4 linked regions of the Ovis aries genome follow. The protein of the gene in region 1 interacts with the protein of each later gene in a pairwise test. Links are inferred from orthologs where the notes say so. Each region holds a gene or a part of one and is shown on either strand. Other genes may lie near its edges.

Region 1 (2,499 bases):
TGCCAACCCTCTATGACCTCCCTCCCTGTGGCACTTCCTGCCCCCTGGAATAGAAACTACTCTTGGATCTGGGCCTCCTGTACCCTGTATGTAGCTCTGTTCCTCAAGTGAAGAGGAAGTCATCTGCCTGCCCAGCCACAGCAGCAGCTGTCGGGGCACAAGGTGGCAGTGGCTGGTGGAGGCTGAAGAAAAAGCGCTCAGGGGGCCTCACACACTTGCCCCACCTGCCTGGCCCCTGACCCCTGCTCCTACACTGCCTGCCTCCCCGCAGGCCACTGCATTCCAAGGCTGAGCAGCACCTCATGTGTGAGGAGCATGAAGACGAGAAGATCAACATTTACTGTCTGAGCTGTGAAGTGCCCACCTGCTCTCTCTGCAAGGTCTTTGGTGCCCACAAGGACTGTGAGGTGGCCCCACTGCCCACCATTTACAAACGCCAGAAGGTATCAAGCAGCAGAGGGAGCAAGCATGGGGGGGTGGGGGTGGGGACACAGGATGGGATCTCAAACTGCAGCCTCTTACTCCACTTGACTTCAAAGGCATGCAGATCAGGGCTGAAGTCCCAGCTCACTGTGTGACCTTGGGTAAGTCACTTGACCTCTCTGGCCCTAAAATTCTTCCTCACTTGTAAAATGGGCATGAAAATGCTTACACTTGAGAGTTGTAAGGATCATACGAGAAATGGATGCAGTATGGTGAACTCTCAAGGCCATCACACTGTCATACAAGTAGATTCTACATAAAACATTATTTACAAATTAAGGGACTCCTCTGGAGGTCTGGTGGTTAAGCTTCCAACGCAGGGGGCACTGGTTCAATCCCTGGTTGGGGAAACAAGATTCCACATGCCATGCAGTATGGCCAAAAAAATTAATTAATCAGTTAATTTTAAAAAAATAATTGAAAAAATAAAATAAAAATTAAATTGATAGACAGGTAGAAAGTAAAGGAAAGCTCCAAGTGTGGGTGAGGTAGGGAGAGAAGGAGGGGGAGAGAGATGTGAACAGAACCCTGAATATGATAGGCATGGGAAAGGCAGGATTTCCCACAGGGCAAATTATTACTGAACTAGACAGATGAGACTATGCCTACAAACTCCTGAAACTTGGGGGACCTACAACAAAGACCCCCAAGGATCACAGGATACACTGGAATCCCAGGAATCCCTAAAGTGGGCAGTTGTGCCACCTGGCTTTTGACAAAAGCAAATGCAAATTCTGCCTGGTGGAAAAACCCTCAATTTAGGCCTTGGGTTTTTCTTAGATTAAGATCAACATAAGATGAGCTCCCGATTGAAGATACACAAAGAAATGTACTCATGAGTGAAGTCAGCAGAAACAAAACTTTCAGATTTAGGCCCTCAAGAAATTAAGATACTGGAATTATTAAAGAATGTAAAGTCAGCTTTGTATAAAATGCTTTAAAAAATGGAATTTGAAAATAAGCAATAATAGACTATCAAAAGTGCAGATTTGATGAAGAACCAAACAGAGCTTTTAGAAATGAAAATATAATTGTAGAAAACAAAACATTCAAGGGATGAATTAAATGACAACTTTCTCTCAGTAAGAGAGGACTGGGGAATTCCCTGGCTGTCCAGTGGTTAGCACTCTGTGCTTTCACTCTCGAGGGCCTGAGTTGGGGAACTAAGATGCCACAAGCCACACAGCATGGCCAGAAAAAAAAAATTTTTTTTTTCACATAAAAGAATTTTAAAAGGGAAAGAGAGGACTGAAAAAATAGCTTAGAATATAGCACTGGGAGATGAGAAGGTTGGGAATGAGAAGGTCTAACATATTAGATATATGATTAGATATATCTGATACTCTAGATATATTAGGTACTCTGATTAGATATCAGAGTCTCAGAATGAGAGAATAAAGAGAATGCAGAAGAGGCAATATTATCTTAAAGGAAAATCCTGAAGACTTTTTCAAAATTGATGGAAGATAAAGCATGCAGCCCAGTGTGTGGTATTTGGTGGATATTTGGTGAATGTCTCTTTCTCACTTGGTGGTGGAGGACTTCCTCTCTCCACTTCCTTCCAGAATTTATAGACTGTGCTTCCAAACTTCTTGAATGGTTCCAAACTCTCTAGATCTCTGTCAGAGTTTCCCTGAGGATGCCCTGATGGTGGAGTGGAGGGGACAGTCCTCTCCTGGGTAGCCCTGGTGAGGGAGGGAGGGGCTTAGCTCCAGACCAGGTCCTCCAGCCCTGAGTGCTGGCCTCTGTGTGTGGCAGAGTGAGCTCAGCGATGGCATCGCGATGCTGGTGGCCGGCAATGACCGTGTGCAAGCAGTGATCACACAGATGGAGGAGGTGTGCCAGACCATCGAGGTGAGCCTGGAAAGGGAGGGAGGGAAAGTTGCTGGGCTACTGGAGGTGAATCACAAGTAGTAGAATGTGCTTACCCAGGCTGCTAGGTTTGAATCCCAGCTCTGTCCTCCTCTGTGACTTTGGTCCAGTGACTTAACTTCTTAGTGTTTGGGTTTGCTTGTT
Region 2 (4,097 bases), on another chromosome or scaffold:
CAACACAAGGGAAAGCGAGCGTGAAACTCTAGCTCCCACGCAGGAGGCCTGGTGACAGGAGCTGCTGCCCGGCTCTGACCACTGAGGACACTCTTCAAAGGCTCTAACCCTGCCCAACCTCAAGATCAAGTCCCAAGCAAGAAGGCCCACACCCCAAAGAGAATTTCTCTTTGCCACCCCCGAACCTCCAGTCCTGGCCCGCTCACCTCCTCCTCATCTGTGGACCTGATGGACAGGACCCTGTCTGGGGTCTCCTTCCCTACACGTGCACACCCATCTGGTATTTTCATTCATTCATGTGATATAAGTTGAAGACCACAAGTGCGGCTGCCCGAAGGCTGACGTGGGCGTGCTGGTGCCCCTGGGTCCTAGTGGTGGTTGCTGGCCACCTGGGCACTGCCTGCAGCACCAGACTGTCCACAAACAGGACAGAGTGGGAGATGCTGGGGTCACTTCCCTCAGGTGGGGAGCTGGCAGAGCAGAGGGGAGTGCCAAGCAGCTTTCAAGTCCATGGGAACATGAGGGCAGTAATCCTGAAGCCTGAAAACCCTTCACTTCACATCACCCTTCTAAACAGAACTTGCCCCCGCCTCATCACCAGGGCAGATGGGAACGCCTCTCCCTCCCCTGGTGGGGGCTTAGGGATGTGCGGAAATCCTACAGGAGCCCCTCACGGGCCAGGACCACCTCTAAACTGTCCCACACGGGAGCTCAGTGGCAGAGACAAGCAGCCTGGCTCTCCGTGCACTGTGAAGTTCCTGCTGAGTCTGCGCTCAGCAAGGCTTCAAGACTGGTTCCTGGAGCCTGGGCAGCACATGGGTTCTGGAATGGGCAAGCTGGCACTCGAGGGCTCTGGAGCGGCATGGCTAGGCCAGGATGTAGAAAAGGCCGGTGGGGTGATCCTCAGTGCCGCATGCCTGCTGACCGCATGCCAGGACCCCGCCACAGGCCACCTCTTCTACTGACAAGGAACAAAGCCGCCTCAGCAGACCCTGTTGGGGCGCCAGCTGTGACTGTCTCAGGTGCAGAAAGTAATGGGAGGGGTGTCCCACAAGAGCTGCTGCAACCCCGTCCTTGGGGGTGAGAACCAAACTGGGCACCTGAAAGACAGATGCTGCAGCCATGGCGGAGTCACAGGCGCACACCTGCCCCCGCCCAGAGAGAGGCTGGCCTCGCTGCCCAGGAGAAAGCAGCCAATTTGCTACATTTTAATTACAACACGGAACCACTCCTTCAGCATCCCACTTAGAATCCAATCAGCTTTTCCCAACTGACAGGGAGGCACTTAAGGAGCTGTTAAGTGTGCGCAGTCTTCAGGGCAGCAAAATCACTAAGAGGCAAAGATCGGGTATCTATGACCTGCTAGAGACAGCCTGAAGCACAGGATCCGGGTCTGGGGCAGACCCTTGAAGTCTGCAGCCACCCTTCTCCAGCGTGGGCTGTGCTTGAACCCACGCTTCTCAGATCAATCTCTGAAGCCACTTACCGGCTGCAGGTGAGGGCCAACGGCTTCCCTCTTCCCCTTCAACCTTCTCACCGGTAAAACGGGCGATAGCACTGTGAGCCCAGAGGTCGGCCCAGGATGAAACCGATAGAGGCTCGCGGCCCTTGGTGGGCTTTCCCACCCAAACGTAAGCTCGCCAGGAGAAGGAAGGCACTGGCTTCACCTGCGCTCAGGAGATCCTCCAGCCCAGGGGCACTTCCCTGGTCTTTCCTGACACGCCTCCCAGGACGCCCAGCTGTTTCCAAAGCAAGCCCAAACCCCCAGCGAGACTCACGTGCAGCACGATGCAGAATTCACCCCCAACCCACCCAAAATCAAGTCAGCACAAACGTGGGCTCCTTCTCCCCCTGCTGCTGGGCAGGTTCTCCGTCCAAAGGCAGTTTCCTTGGGAGCAAGAAACACAGAGGACCACGGGCTTAAGAGCAGACCAACGAAAGCCAACTCCGCAAACCGGGGAGAAACTGCCAACGGAGCTTGTTTTCAAATCGTACAAACCAAACCAGTTACTTCTGTGATTCAAGGACAGCTGCTGGCCGTTACCATCAGCCCAGCTAATCATTCCCTCGCCTTCCTCTTACTCGCGAAAACTATCAGCTCCAGCCGCCGTGCAATTGGTATAAAGCGGTCTTGGGACGAGATCTCCCCGTCAAGGGAAGAGCGAACACTCGGTGGGTCCCCCGCAACGGCGAGCGGAGCTCGGAGGCGCAAGAGCTCTGGCTTGTTTTCGTTTCCAGGCATCACACGCCACCCCCAAACGCGCCGGCGCTCCTGCAGCGCGCGGCTTTGCACTCTTTGTGCAGCGCGTCCTCTACCAGGCTGGAACGCGCCACAGGTTCGCGCGCAGACCGTGACCCCGGAAACGCTCCGCCTGAGCGGAGGGCTTGGCGCTCCTGTCAGCGCGGCCCGAGCCGAGCGCGCCGTCGGCCGCCCCGGACGCGACTCGCCCCGAGCGCGCGCCCGGAGAAGACGCCCCCACCTCGCGGGCCGAGGCCGCGGCGGGCCGGGGGCCGGGCTACCCGAAGGGAGCCCGGCGGGCTGGCCCCCGCCGCGGCGTCAGCAGCCCGGGGCGGGCCGGTCCCCGGGAACGGGCCGGGCCGCGCGCGGAGGGCGCCTGCCCGGCCGGACCCGCCGGCAGCGGAGTTTTGGGCCCCCGCGGCCCGGCGCCCGCCCCGCGGCGCTCACCTCGGGCGGCCCGGCCCGGCGAGCGAGGCGTACTAGGCGGCGGCGGCGGCGGCTGCGCTCCCTTTGTCTCGGGACTTCCCTCCCGAGCCCGCTCCGCGCGCAGCCCGAGCGCTCGAGGACCCCGGCGCGGGCGGGGCGGGGCGGGGCCTGCGGGGCCTGCCCGCCGCGCGCCTGGCTCGCACCCCGCCGCCGCCACCGCCAGCCCCGCGCCGCCCGCGCCGCCGAGCGCCGCCCGCTGCCCGTGTCCCGCCGCCGCGCGCCCGCGCCCCGGGCCCCGCTCGGGAGCCCGGCCCGGAGGCGGCTTTCCAGTCAGGCGGCGCCATGGACACCTGCGTCCTTAAAGGGGCCGCGTCCCGGGTGTGAGGGAGCGTCTGCAAACTCCCCTTCGCGGGGCACTGTTCCTCGCGAGGACCGGCCGGGTAGCGGCGGGGAAGCAGGGCGGCCGAGATCTCCCCGGGCTCTCCGGATGCCCCGCGGGCACCTCCCCAGGCAGCGGTCCCGGAGGTCTCCTCGAGGCTAGGGCCCGGGGCGGAGGAGCAACGACCACTGAGGCCTAGGGATCCCCCAAGCGTCGCAGCACGGTGACAATCTCTCGCCTACGGCATGCTGTGAAACCCCTTGCGATTGGCCAACTCGGGGCCCTGGGCGGGGCATCCGTCTAATGTGCCCAATGAGCAGGCCCCGTACACAAGACCAAGTGCGGGCCCGACCGACGGGAGGAGAAGTGCAGACGCTCCCTAACCCAGGGGCTGGCCTGGGGGGAGGGGCGCCGGGTGGTCCGGGCGGGTGGGGGAGGAGCAGGGGCAGGGCTAGGCCCCTGTGGCCGGGGTCTCAGGTCCGCCCCGAACCCACGCGCGAACGCTTGTCCTTCCCGGCCACGCTGGGCGCCTCTCCGTCTAGCGGCCCCCGACCCCCGTCCCCTGGCCCAGAGTGGGAAAGAGGGAGCGTTCCAAGGTCAGCCCCTCCGCCCGTGGGCTCTTTGGGGTCAAGTGGCGGGAGGTGACCGCCCCCCCACCCCGGCCCCCAGCTTGCATTCATTCACCCCTTCGCCCTGGGTCTCCTCCTTCCTCCGTTTCCTTCCATCCTCCCCACCCTCACCCCCGGCAGCCCCCTATTTGGCACTGTACTGAGACTATTGGCCTCCAGGGCAGACCGCCCAGCACCGCCCCCCCCCCCCCCGCCCCCGCAAGGCTAGTGTCCCAAGGCCCACGTCTGGGCCAGAGCTCTCAGCAGGTGTTCAGCGCTCCCAGCCCGTCTGTTACAGTGAGGATGGTCACTAGCCCTGAGAAGGCCCCGGGCTGGGCGTGGGGTTGAGGTGGGGGCGTCTCCTGAGGCTGGTAGCTCCGCTGGGCTGGGGAGGTAGTCTGCCTAGGGTGCCTCTGGGTCAGCTGTGGCCCAGAGGGCCTGGTTA
Region 3 (4,019 bases), on another chromosome or scaffold:
AGAGGGTTACCATTCCCTTCTCCAGGGGATCCTCCCAACCCAGGGATCGAACCCGCATCTCTTGGTATCTCCTGCATTGGCAGGTGGATTCTTTACCACTGGCACCAGGTTGACCCAAGAGAAATGATCACCCTACTCCCCTCAGGCAGTAGAGACCTGGGCCAGGCTTGTGGCCCCAAGAACCTCAGGGTGGAGGCCGACCAGAAGGAAACATCTCAGAACTTCCCTGGGAGGCCCCATTAGAGACGCCTACCATCTGGTCCCTGCCTCAGCCCACGCAGAGCCAAGCCGGCCCTCCCTGCCACCTGCGGCCTAGCCCTACAGACCATCTGGTTGCTTCCCCGAGAGGCCCCTCCCATACTCCCTGAAGGGGAGCTAGCTCCCAATGGGAGTCCAGACCCTAGGACTACCATTCTTGTCCTCTTCAGGCCTTCTTTCTCCTCCCCCTCCACCCCCTCCACTGCCCTCCCCCCACCCTTTTTTTTTTTTTTTTCAGGGAGAAACCTAAAGCCCAGAGAGGGTCTGTGACGATCCAAGTCACACAACCAGACAGGGACTTTGATGGGGCATTCCCTGGCAGGGGAGGGCGGAGGGATTCCTGAGGAACAAGTGTTGGTAAGGCAGTGAGGCAGTTCCCAGCTCCCTGCCCTGCGTGGCAGAGAGGCTCCCAGAAGGTCATCCCTCCCCTCCGGGGAAAGAGAGAGAGACCAACCGGAACTGGGGTGGGGAGGAATTCCAGGAAAAAAGAGGACTGGGGCGGGGGAGGGGTGGGGCGGGTGGGAAGTTGGGCTCCAGAAGGCAGATTTGGGAGTCACTAGCCAGAAGTTAAGGGACAGAGCCAAAGTGTAGGGGCCCGTTGTCCGGCCAGATGGGGCGCTAGGGAGGGGTTCAGATTTCCAGGCCGCAAGATCGGGTGTCTGGGGCTCCCACGGTGGGTGCTGGGGCGTTCTGGGTCTGGGAAGTGGGAGGGGCAGTCCCGGGTCCGAGGGGAACGAGGGAGTCTGGAAAGTCCTGTGCCAGAACGGGCAGTGATTGCGAAGTTAAGGAGTCACGGGGCTTAGGGGCGGTGGTCCTTAGGCTGGGGGGCCGCCGCACTCACCTCTACCCGGGCTCGGGCCAGGCCTTGTAGACGGTTCCAGTCGGGCCGGAAGGTGGTGGTGGCGGCCGCGACTGCCGCGAGGAGGAGCAGCAGGGGCGGCGGAGGCAGCGGGAGGTGCATTGAAACCCGGCCGAAGATGGTCCGCAAGCTGGAGGTGAACCGCCCGGCCACTGCGCCACGTCTGGCCCGGAGAGCTGGCCGGGTCCCCGCTGGAGGTCCCGCCCCGTTAGGGACCACGCCTCCTGCTCTCGGTCTCCGCCCAGGACCTGCGTGGGGGCCGCCCGCGCGGCCCGGCGGGGTTTGGGCTCCTCTCTGGCCCGCAGAGCTTTACTTTCCGGGTCCCAACAGCGTCCACCCTCCCTCTGCTGACCGACAGGATGGATGCTCCGACTGGATGCGTCCAGACAGTGCCCCGGTTCGCCGGCAGAGGGCGCAGGCGGGAGGCGCACAGGCACCGGAGTTTCTGGGTCAGACACCCGACTGGAAGATGGGGAAACTAAGGCCTGGGGAATCCTTGTTTGTGTGTTGTTTTCTGTTTGTTTTGTTTTTTTACTTCTCTAGATGAGATTCCGGTCTGGATTTTAATTTCCTGGGCAAACGTTATGGCGATGGGAATATTACGTCGGAGCTGGGAGGATAAAGGGGTTAATACACATGAGAGCAGAGAAGGCAATGGCACCCCACTCCAGTACTCTTGCCTGGAAAATCCTAGGGACAGAGGAGCCTGGTGGGCTGCAGTCCACGGGGTCGCGAAGAGTCGGACACGACTGAGCGACTTCACTTTCACTTTTCACTTTCATGCATTGGAGAAGGAAATGGCAACCCACTCCAGTGTTCTTGCCTGGAGAATCCCAGGGACGGGGGAGCCTGGTGGGCTGCCGTCTATGGGGTCGCACAGAGTCGGACATGACCAAAGCGACTTAGCAGCAGCAGCAGCACATGAGAGAGCTCTTTAGAACAGTACCGTCACAGCACCTCAAAAAGGCCCAATGATCTCCTTTCTACAAGCTAGGAAACAGGCTCAGAAAGGTAAGACGATTAAATTGTAGGTCTTGGATTTGAACCCAAAACATTCCCGTGTTCATGTCACCAAGACAAAGACGACTAGATCAGGATGTCACTTCCCCTCTTCAGTCCTCAGGCAGACATTGTGCACTGGTCGCAGTGCTTTTTTCCCACTGAATCTGGACTGGAACTCAGAATTCTCAGCATCCAGCCAAGGCTGCATTATGGCTTTCACGGAAGCTCAGTAGTTTTGCCTTCCTGGGCCCCTTCCTTTATTAAAATATCTTACATTAGACATTGGAGGGACTACCCTGGTGGTCCATTGGTTATGACTCTGCCTCGTAATTAAAGACAGCACAAGTTCAATCCTGACAACTAAACCCATGTGCCACTAGAGAGCCTGCTGCCCCAAGGAAAGTTCCCTAGTGATTGCGAGGAAGATGCCACGTGATGCAGCTAGATAAACATTTTTAAATTGAATTTTACAACTGCTTTGATCTTAAAAGAAATTAATATAATCCAGGCTAGGTTCATTATTATTCATTCATTTTTTTCTTCCGATTTAAAAAAAAAATTAAAATTAAAACATTTTTGTGGGCCCCTAAAAGTATGATGGGCCATAGACACTAAACCTCATGGATAAGTCAGGTCTGCCTAGAGCCCTTCATTCATATCATTACCTCCCATTCACTGACTTGATTGTGAAGATATAATAGGCTTAGGGCTGTTATTTAATATTCATTGTCCATAAATACATGAGGACACAGTAAATATAATTGGTTCTATCCAGATTATTGAAATGATAAGCTATGTCTAACACTGTTTACTGCTGTGAAAGTGGGAATCCATCCAAGCTTTCTGAAAGGCAACTTGACACATTAAATCAAAACCCTAAAAATATTTTTTCTACCCAGTATTACACTTCTCAGAATTTGACCCAAAGTAATCTTGAGAGAGGGAATCAATGGTTAGGTTAAGATGTTTATCAAGACACTGTTTACAATGGGGAAAAACGAGCTTGGACAGAAGCATGTCATCGCAGGGGATGAGATAAGTAAATGCTGGTGCTTGCTTAGGTTGGGCTTCCCTCATCGCTCAGTTGGTAACGAATCTGCCTGCAATGCAGGAGACCCTGGTTCAATCCAGAGAAGATCCCCTGGAGAAGGGAGATGCTACCCACTCCAGTATTCTTGGGCTTCCCTGGTGGCTCAGCTGGTGAAGAATCCTCCTGCAATGCAGAAGACCTGGGTTCGATGCCTGGGTTGGGAAGATCCCCTGGAGAAGGGTAAGGCTAGTGAAGTGAAGTTGCTCAGTCGTGTCTGACTCTTTGCGACCCCGTGGACTGTAGCCCACCAGGCTCCTCCGTCCATGGGATTCTCCAGGCAAAAATACTGGAGTGGGTTGCCATTTCCTTCTCCAGGGTACGGCTACCCACTCCACTATTCTGGCCTGGAGAATTCCATGGACTATATAGTCCATAGGGTCACAAAGCAGAATCAAGCGGTTGTTTAAAATGATGTGGCATAGTGTTGAATGACATGGAGAGTGTTCAGTTATGGTGTTAATTTTTTTTTAAGCTCTAAAACAGTAATATCAGTTGGGAATTGTGATGCTCCAGGTTGCAAGTCACAGAAACCGCAAGTTAAATGGGCTTAAATGATAAATGGAATCTCTTGGTTCAAATAACAAAATATTTCAGGGAGGGAGGGCTCAGATGAGGTTTGATCTGGTTGATAACGTCACCAAGGCCTGATCTCTTTCCATTCTGCTTTCCATAACATCAGTTTGTCCTTAGCACAGTTATCTGCCTGGTGTCAAGATGACTGCCAGCAGTAATCAGGACCACTACAGACTTCTTCACTCATCTAATCAAGGGGAAATCTTTTTTTTTTTTTTTTTTGTAAACTCCTCAGGA
Region 4 (4,244 bases), about 12 Mb from region 1:
TAAGATTTGTCATTTTCTTCTTGTAGATCTGTCCATTTCTGCTCTATATATTTTGAGGCTATATTATTAGATATCTGCAAATTTATGTATATATAACTGAATCACTTTGCTGTACATAAACTAACACAACATTGTAAATCAACTATTTTTCAGTAAAAACAGTTTAAAAGATAACTGCAAATTTAGAATATTGCTCACGAGTGGAAGCTTTTTTGCTCTTCTACATACACATACAATATGTCCTCCACACTTACTGCTTCTTTTCCACTCTCTTCTAATGTTCTATTTTCAGTGTTTCAGCATGCTGATTTGGGGTCGGGGTCAAATCACAAGAGGGTTACGTGCAGCCACAGAACTCGCTGCATGCAAACGCCTGGACGTCCCTTCTGTGGTCATTTGCAGCGTCCATACCTCATGGGCTTCCAACTCTAGCTTTGGCTAAGAATCCAGCCGGTGTCTGTTCCAGTGGTCAAAGCAAATCCTCAGCCAAAACAAAGAGCAGCCTGCAGAAAGGTGAGGGAGTAGGGTGTTTCGCAAGTGTTTACATTCCTGATGGAAGAAATACTTGGTTCAGACTTCAGAGAAGGGGTCTGGATATTGCGCGTTGCGTACCCTAACTTTGTGGTGGTGACAGCAGGTTGTAGGGCCAGGAGTGGGGGGTGGCTGGGGCCTCAGCCTCAGGAAGTAGGGGTTTGGCTGACACTGCACCACGAAGCGACTTAGCATCATCAGCAGCAGCACCACCACCACGCCTGATATTTTAAGGCTAGGCTTCTTTTACAGGCGCTTGGTGTAGCGGCAAGGCGTCATCTGAAGCGCCCAAATCCCAAGTGGGAGACGTTGTTGGGGGTGAGGTGGAGATGAGGCTTGTTTGTGGCTACTGGTGGGCGTTTACACCTTCCGATCCCCACCACTATAAAGCGGAGGAACCCAAGCAGCAAACGTTCGGGTCACACACACCTGCACTCTCAGTCACTGGTGGGTGGACCAGGCTCCACCTTCCTCCAGATTGGTCGACTTCCGTTAGCTTTCAAGTCAGGGTAGAAAGTAACTCACGGCTTCCCATTCTCCGGCTCGCTGGAGAGCCATGTTAGGTCGCGGGATGCAAACGTTACCATTGTCCCGAGACCGCGACACGATAACACGCCCTGCTTTCTTCTGCCGCCGCCACCTCCTCCAAACATATTATTTCAATGAATAAAAAGCCCCACAGCACAAATCGTTTCATTAGTGTAATGTGAGAAGTCTGCATTTAGGGGGTGAAATGCGAAGAAGAGGGACCAGGTGCCCTATTCCCCCGACCAATCCTCTAAACCAGCAAAGACTCAATACTGACTCCCACTATCCAAGGGGCCCCGCGGCGGGCGCCGGTTTTAAGTGATTTTTGGCCCCTCGCGGCCCCTGTAGCGTCCCTAGTTACCGGGCCCCTAGTAACCACCACCCTAAGCAAAGAGCAATCGGGCGCCTGCGGCCACGCCGGCTTCCCCGCCCCGGGCCAGCGCGGGCGCTCAGGCCTCGGCGGCGCGGTGATGGCTGCTTCGCACCGAGCGGCGAAGTTGGCGGCCAGAAGTCTCCAAACCCCGGTCAATCCCAACACCGGAGCGCGGGTCGCCCAGTACGAACGCAAAGACCCTTTGAATTCCCTGTCGGCGGCGGCGGCGGCCATGGAGGAAGAGGAGGAAGAAGAAGAAGAGAAAGAGGCGGCGGCACGGCTGGCGCGGGCGCCGGTAATGCAGGGGAGGGCAGTGGGGTGGGGCTGGGCGCCGGGTGCAATTGGAGGCTGATCGGCGACCCCCGGTGGTGAGGCGCGGGCTGGGAAATGCGAACCCTGTCCTGACCCGTACAGGTGAGCCTGGCCCACCAAGTCCTCTGGGTCCTCACGGAAAATGCTCGAAACCGAGGCGTTGAAAAGTCTTTTAACCAAAGAGGTTGTTGTAAAAATTTCTTGGAGGGCATTTACGTTACGCTATTTCTAATGAAAAGTACAGAAATTTATTCTTATGCTCCAGCAACTGTTGGGAGTAGGTATTTTCTTTTCTTTTCTTTTTTTTTCTTTTTCCTTTCAACTCGAGGAAAACTGTGCTGTCCTACAGAGAATAATCCAAAAAACGCAAGTGAATCAGCTGTGTTGTCAGGTGTGTTTTGTTGTCACTTCAATGTCTTGGTTATTAGTGCGTCTTAATACAATACATGAGAGATGATGGTTAAAACCAGCAGGAGTTTAGTGGGGAGATCAGAAACAGAGTTAAGCCTCCAGAGAAGCAAATTACTGAGGCTCCAGTGTTGCCACACGGCTCTTCAGAGTGAGGAGAAACAGCTTTTTCACAGATCGATTTTCAGTGTCGAGTGTTTTGTGAACACCTGTCTGCCAGGTAGGGGGCCAAGTCTGCCATCTGCTCTATTCCCTTAAAAGATGAGAACTTTGAATTTTAACCAGCAATCTGCAGGTATAAACCTTCTTAACCCCAGGTAAAGATTCTTTTGTTATTTTTAATATTTATTTATTTGGCTGTGCTGAGACTCAGTTGCCTCCATGCAACCTTTGTGTGGATTCTTTAGTTGTGGCATGCAGAATCTACTTCCCTGACCAGGGATGGAACCCAAGGCCCTTGCATTGGGAGTGCAGAGTCTTAACCAGCAGAGAAGTCCCCCCAAATTCTTAATACTGTTTGCTCAAAGCATCTTAGGTTAAAAACATGTAGTCTAGTGAAAGTCACTCAGTCATGTCCAACTCTTTGCAACCCCCATGGACTATACAGTCCATGGAATTCTCCAGGCCAGAATACTGGAGTGGACAGCCTTTCCCTTCTCCAGGGGATCTTGTGGTCTAAGGCTATTAGAAATCACTGGATATTTTGGAATTCTAATTTCTTTAATCTGCACTAGAAATGGTAATGAGAAAATCTGTAGTAACACCTTTTATGGGCAGTATTTTACCAACAGATAAACTGCTTGAGGTTATCCAGAGTAAAGCAGATTCAAAGACCCTGAACTTCAACCAGAATGAGTGACCTACAACCAAATTCATTCATGATAAAGCTTCAAATTTCAATACCCAATGAAGGAGGTGGACTGATGTTGAAAAATGATTTGAATGAAGAGAAGAATTTGGAGTCCTGGGTTAGGATCTGTTCATTTGCTAGTTAATATTAAGATGTAACTTCTTTCAGTTTGTTTCCTTATCTATAAAAGAGCTCTAAAATAACTGTCTTTCTTTTCTCACTGGGGTATTATGAGAACGAAATAAGAGCATATGTCATAGCTAAAAGACAGTTTGTATAAATTAGTAATAATAATAACAGCTGCCAGTGGGGCTGTTATTTGAACACCTATCCAAAAGAGAACAGGAGATTAAGTTCTCTTCTGGCTTGCTGTAGTGGAAAAGTCAGTCATTTCTGTGGTTGCAAGTATACTTCCAGAGTACCCTGTAAAATTGCAAATTTGTATTAGAAATATTACCTTAGGAGAGATCAGTTTATCTAATAAGCTAGTTTCTAAGGGACAGTGTCTCACTAAAAAAGAAAAAAGGAAGCTAAGTTTAACGCTATTCTGAGACCACAGTACTTAAAGGAACCAAAAGGAAATCTGGATCAGCTGCCACTGTAGTAGTGGTAAAGAACCCCCTGCCTGCCAGTGCAAGAGATGTAAGAGACGTGGATTTGATCCCTGAGTCAGGAAGATCCCTTGAAGAAGGGAATGGAACCCATTCCAGTATCCTCGCCAGGAAAATCCCATGGACAGAGGAGCCTGGCAGGCTACAGTCCATAGGGTCGAAGAGTCTGACACGACTGAAGTGACTTAGCGTGCAGCACATAGCAGTAGACCTGATGGAGACACTGGGGTGGGCAGACAAAGCACTGGAAAGGCAAGAAAGAAAGTGCAGCAGACAAGCTTTACCTTCCTCACAGTTTGGCTTGATATCTCACCTTGATTTTTAAACGCTAGTTTCTCTCAACTTTGTCGTCTATAAAATGGAGTTAACTCAGCTTACCATAGCCATCACACAAAATTGATTATGTAGAACTAACTGTCATAGTTCGGTTCAGTTGCTCAGTCATGTCTGACTCTTTCCAACCCATGGACTGCAGCGCACCAGGCCTCCCTGACCATCACCAACTCCCGTAGTCTACCCAAACTCATGTCCATTGAGTTGGTGATGCCATCCAACCATCCCATCCTCTGTCATCCCCTTCTCCCCCCACCTTCAATCTTTCCCAGCATCAGGGTCTTTTCAAGTAAGTCAG

The links.
Region 2: the proteins of TRIM54 (region 1) and UBE2I interact in a two-hybrid assay, tested with the Homo sapiens proteins (3 studies listed by BioGRID and IntAct). The link is inferred for Ovis aries from reciprocal best matches to the Homo sapiens genes TRIM54 and UBE2I.
Region 3: the proteins of TRIM54 (region 1) and INPP5J interact in binary tests that used the Homo sapiens proteins (3 or more experiments, as listed by UniProt). The two-hybrid records come from large-scale screens. The link is inferred for Ovis aries from reciprocal best matches to the Homo sapiens genes TRIM54 and INPP5J.
Region 4: the proteins of TRIM54 (region 1) and FAM161A interact in binary tests that used the Homo sapiens proteins (3 or more experiments, as listed by UniProt). The two-hybrid records come from large-scale screens. The link is inferred for Ovis aries from reciprocal best matches to the Homo sapiens genes TRIM54 and FAM161A.

The regions. Positions count from the first base shown.
Region 1 is NC_056056.1:34,378,230-34,380,728, forward strand, and holds part of TRIM54 (tripartite motif-containing protein 54), read left to right. Parts: intron 1-271; coding exon 272-443; intron 444-2,241; coding exon 2,242-2,337; intron 2,338-2,499. UniProt on the Homo sapiens protein: May bind and stabilize microtubules during myotubes formation.
Region 2 is NC_056077.1:1,565,899-1,569,995, reverse strand, and holds the start of UBE2I (SUMO-conjugating enzyme UBC9), read right to left. Parts: upstream 2,801-4,097; 5' UTR 2,687-2,800; intron 2,323-2,686; exon of another isoform or gene 2,083-2,322; intron 1,860-2,082; exon of another isoform or gene 1,779-1,859; intron 1-1,778. UniProt on the Homo sapiens protein: Accepts the ubiquitin-like proteins SUMO1, SUMO2, SUMO3, SUMO4 and SUMO1P1/SUMO5 from the UBLE1A-UBLE1B E1 complex and catalyzes their covalent attachment to other proteins with the help of an E3 ligase such as RANBP2, CBX4 and ZNF451.
Region 3 is NC_056070.1:69,884,641-69,888,659, forward strand, and holds the start of INPP5J (phosphatidylinositol 4,5-bisphosphate 5-phosphatase A), read left to right. Parts: upstream 1-1,219; 5' UTR 1,220-4,019. UniProt on the Homo sapiens protein: Inositol 5-phosphatase, which converts inositol 1,4,5-trisphosphate to inositol 1,4-bisphosphate.
Region 4 is NC_056056.1:46,300,794-46,305,037, forward strand, and holds the start of FAM161A (protein FAM161A), read left to right. Parts: upstream 1-1,444; 5' UTR 1,445-1,529; coding exon 1,530-1,727; exon of another isoform or gene 1,728-1,734; intron 1,735-4,244. UniProt on the Homo sapiens protein: Involved in ciliogenesis.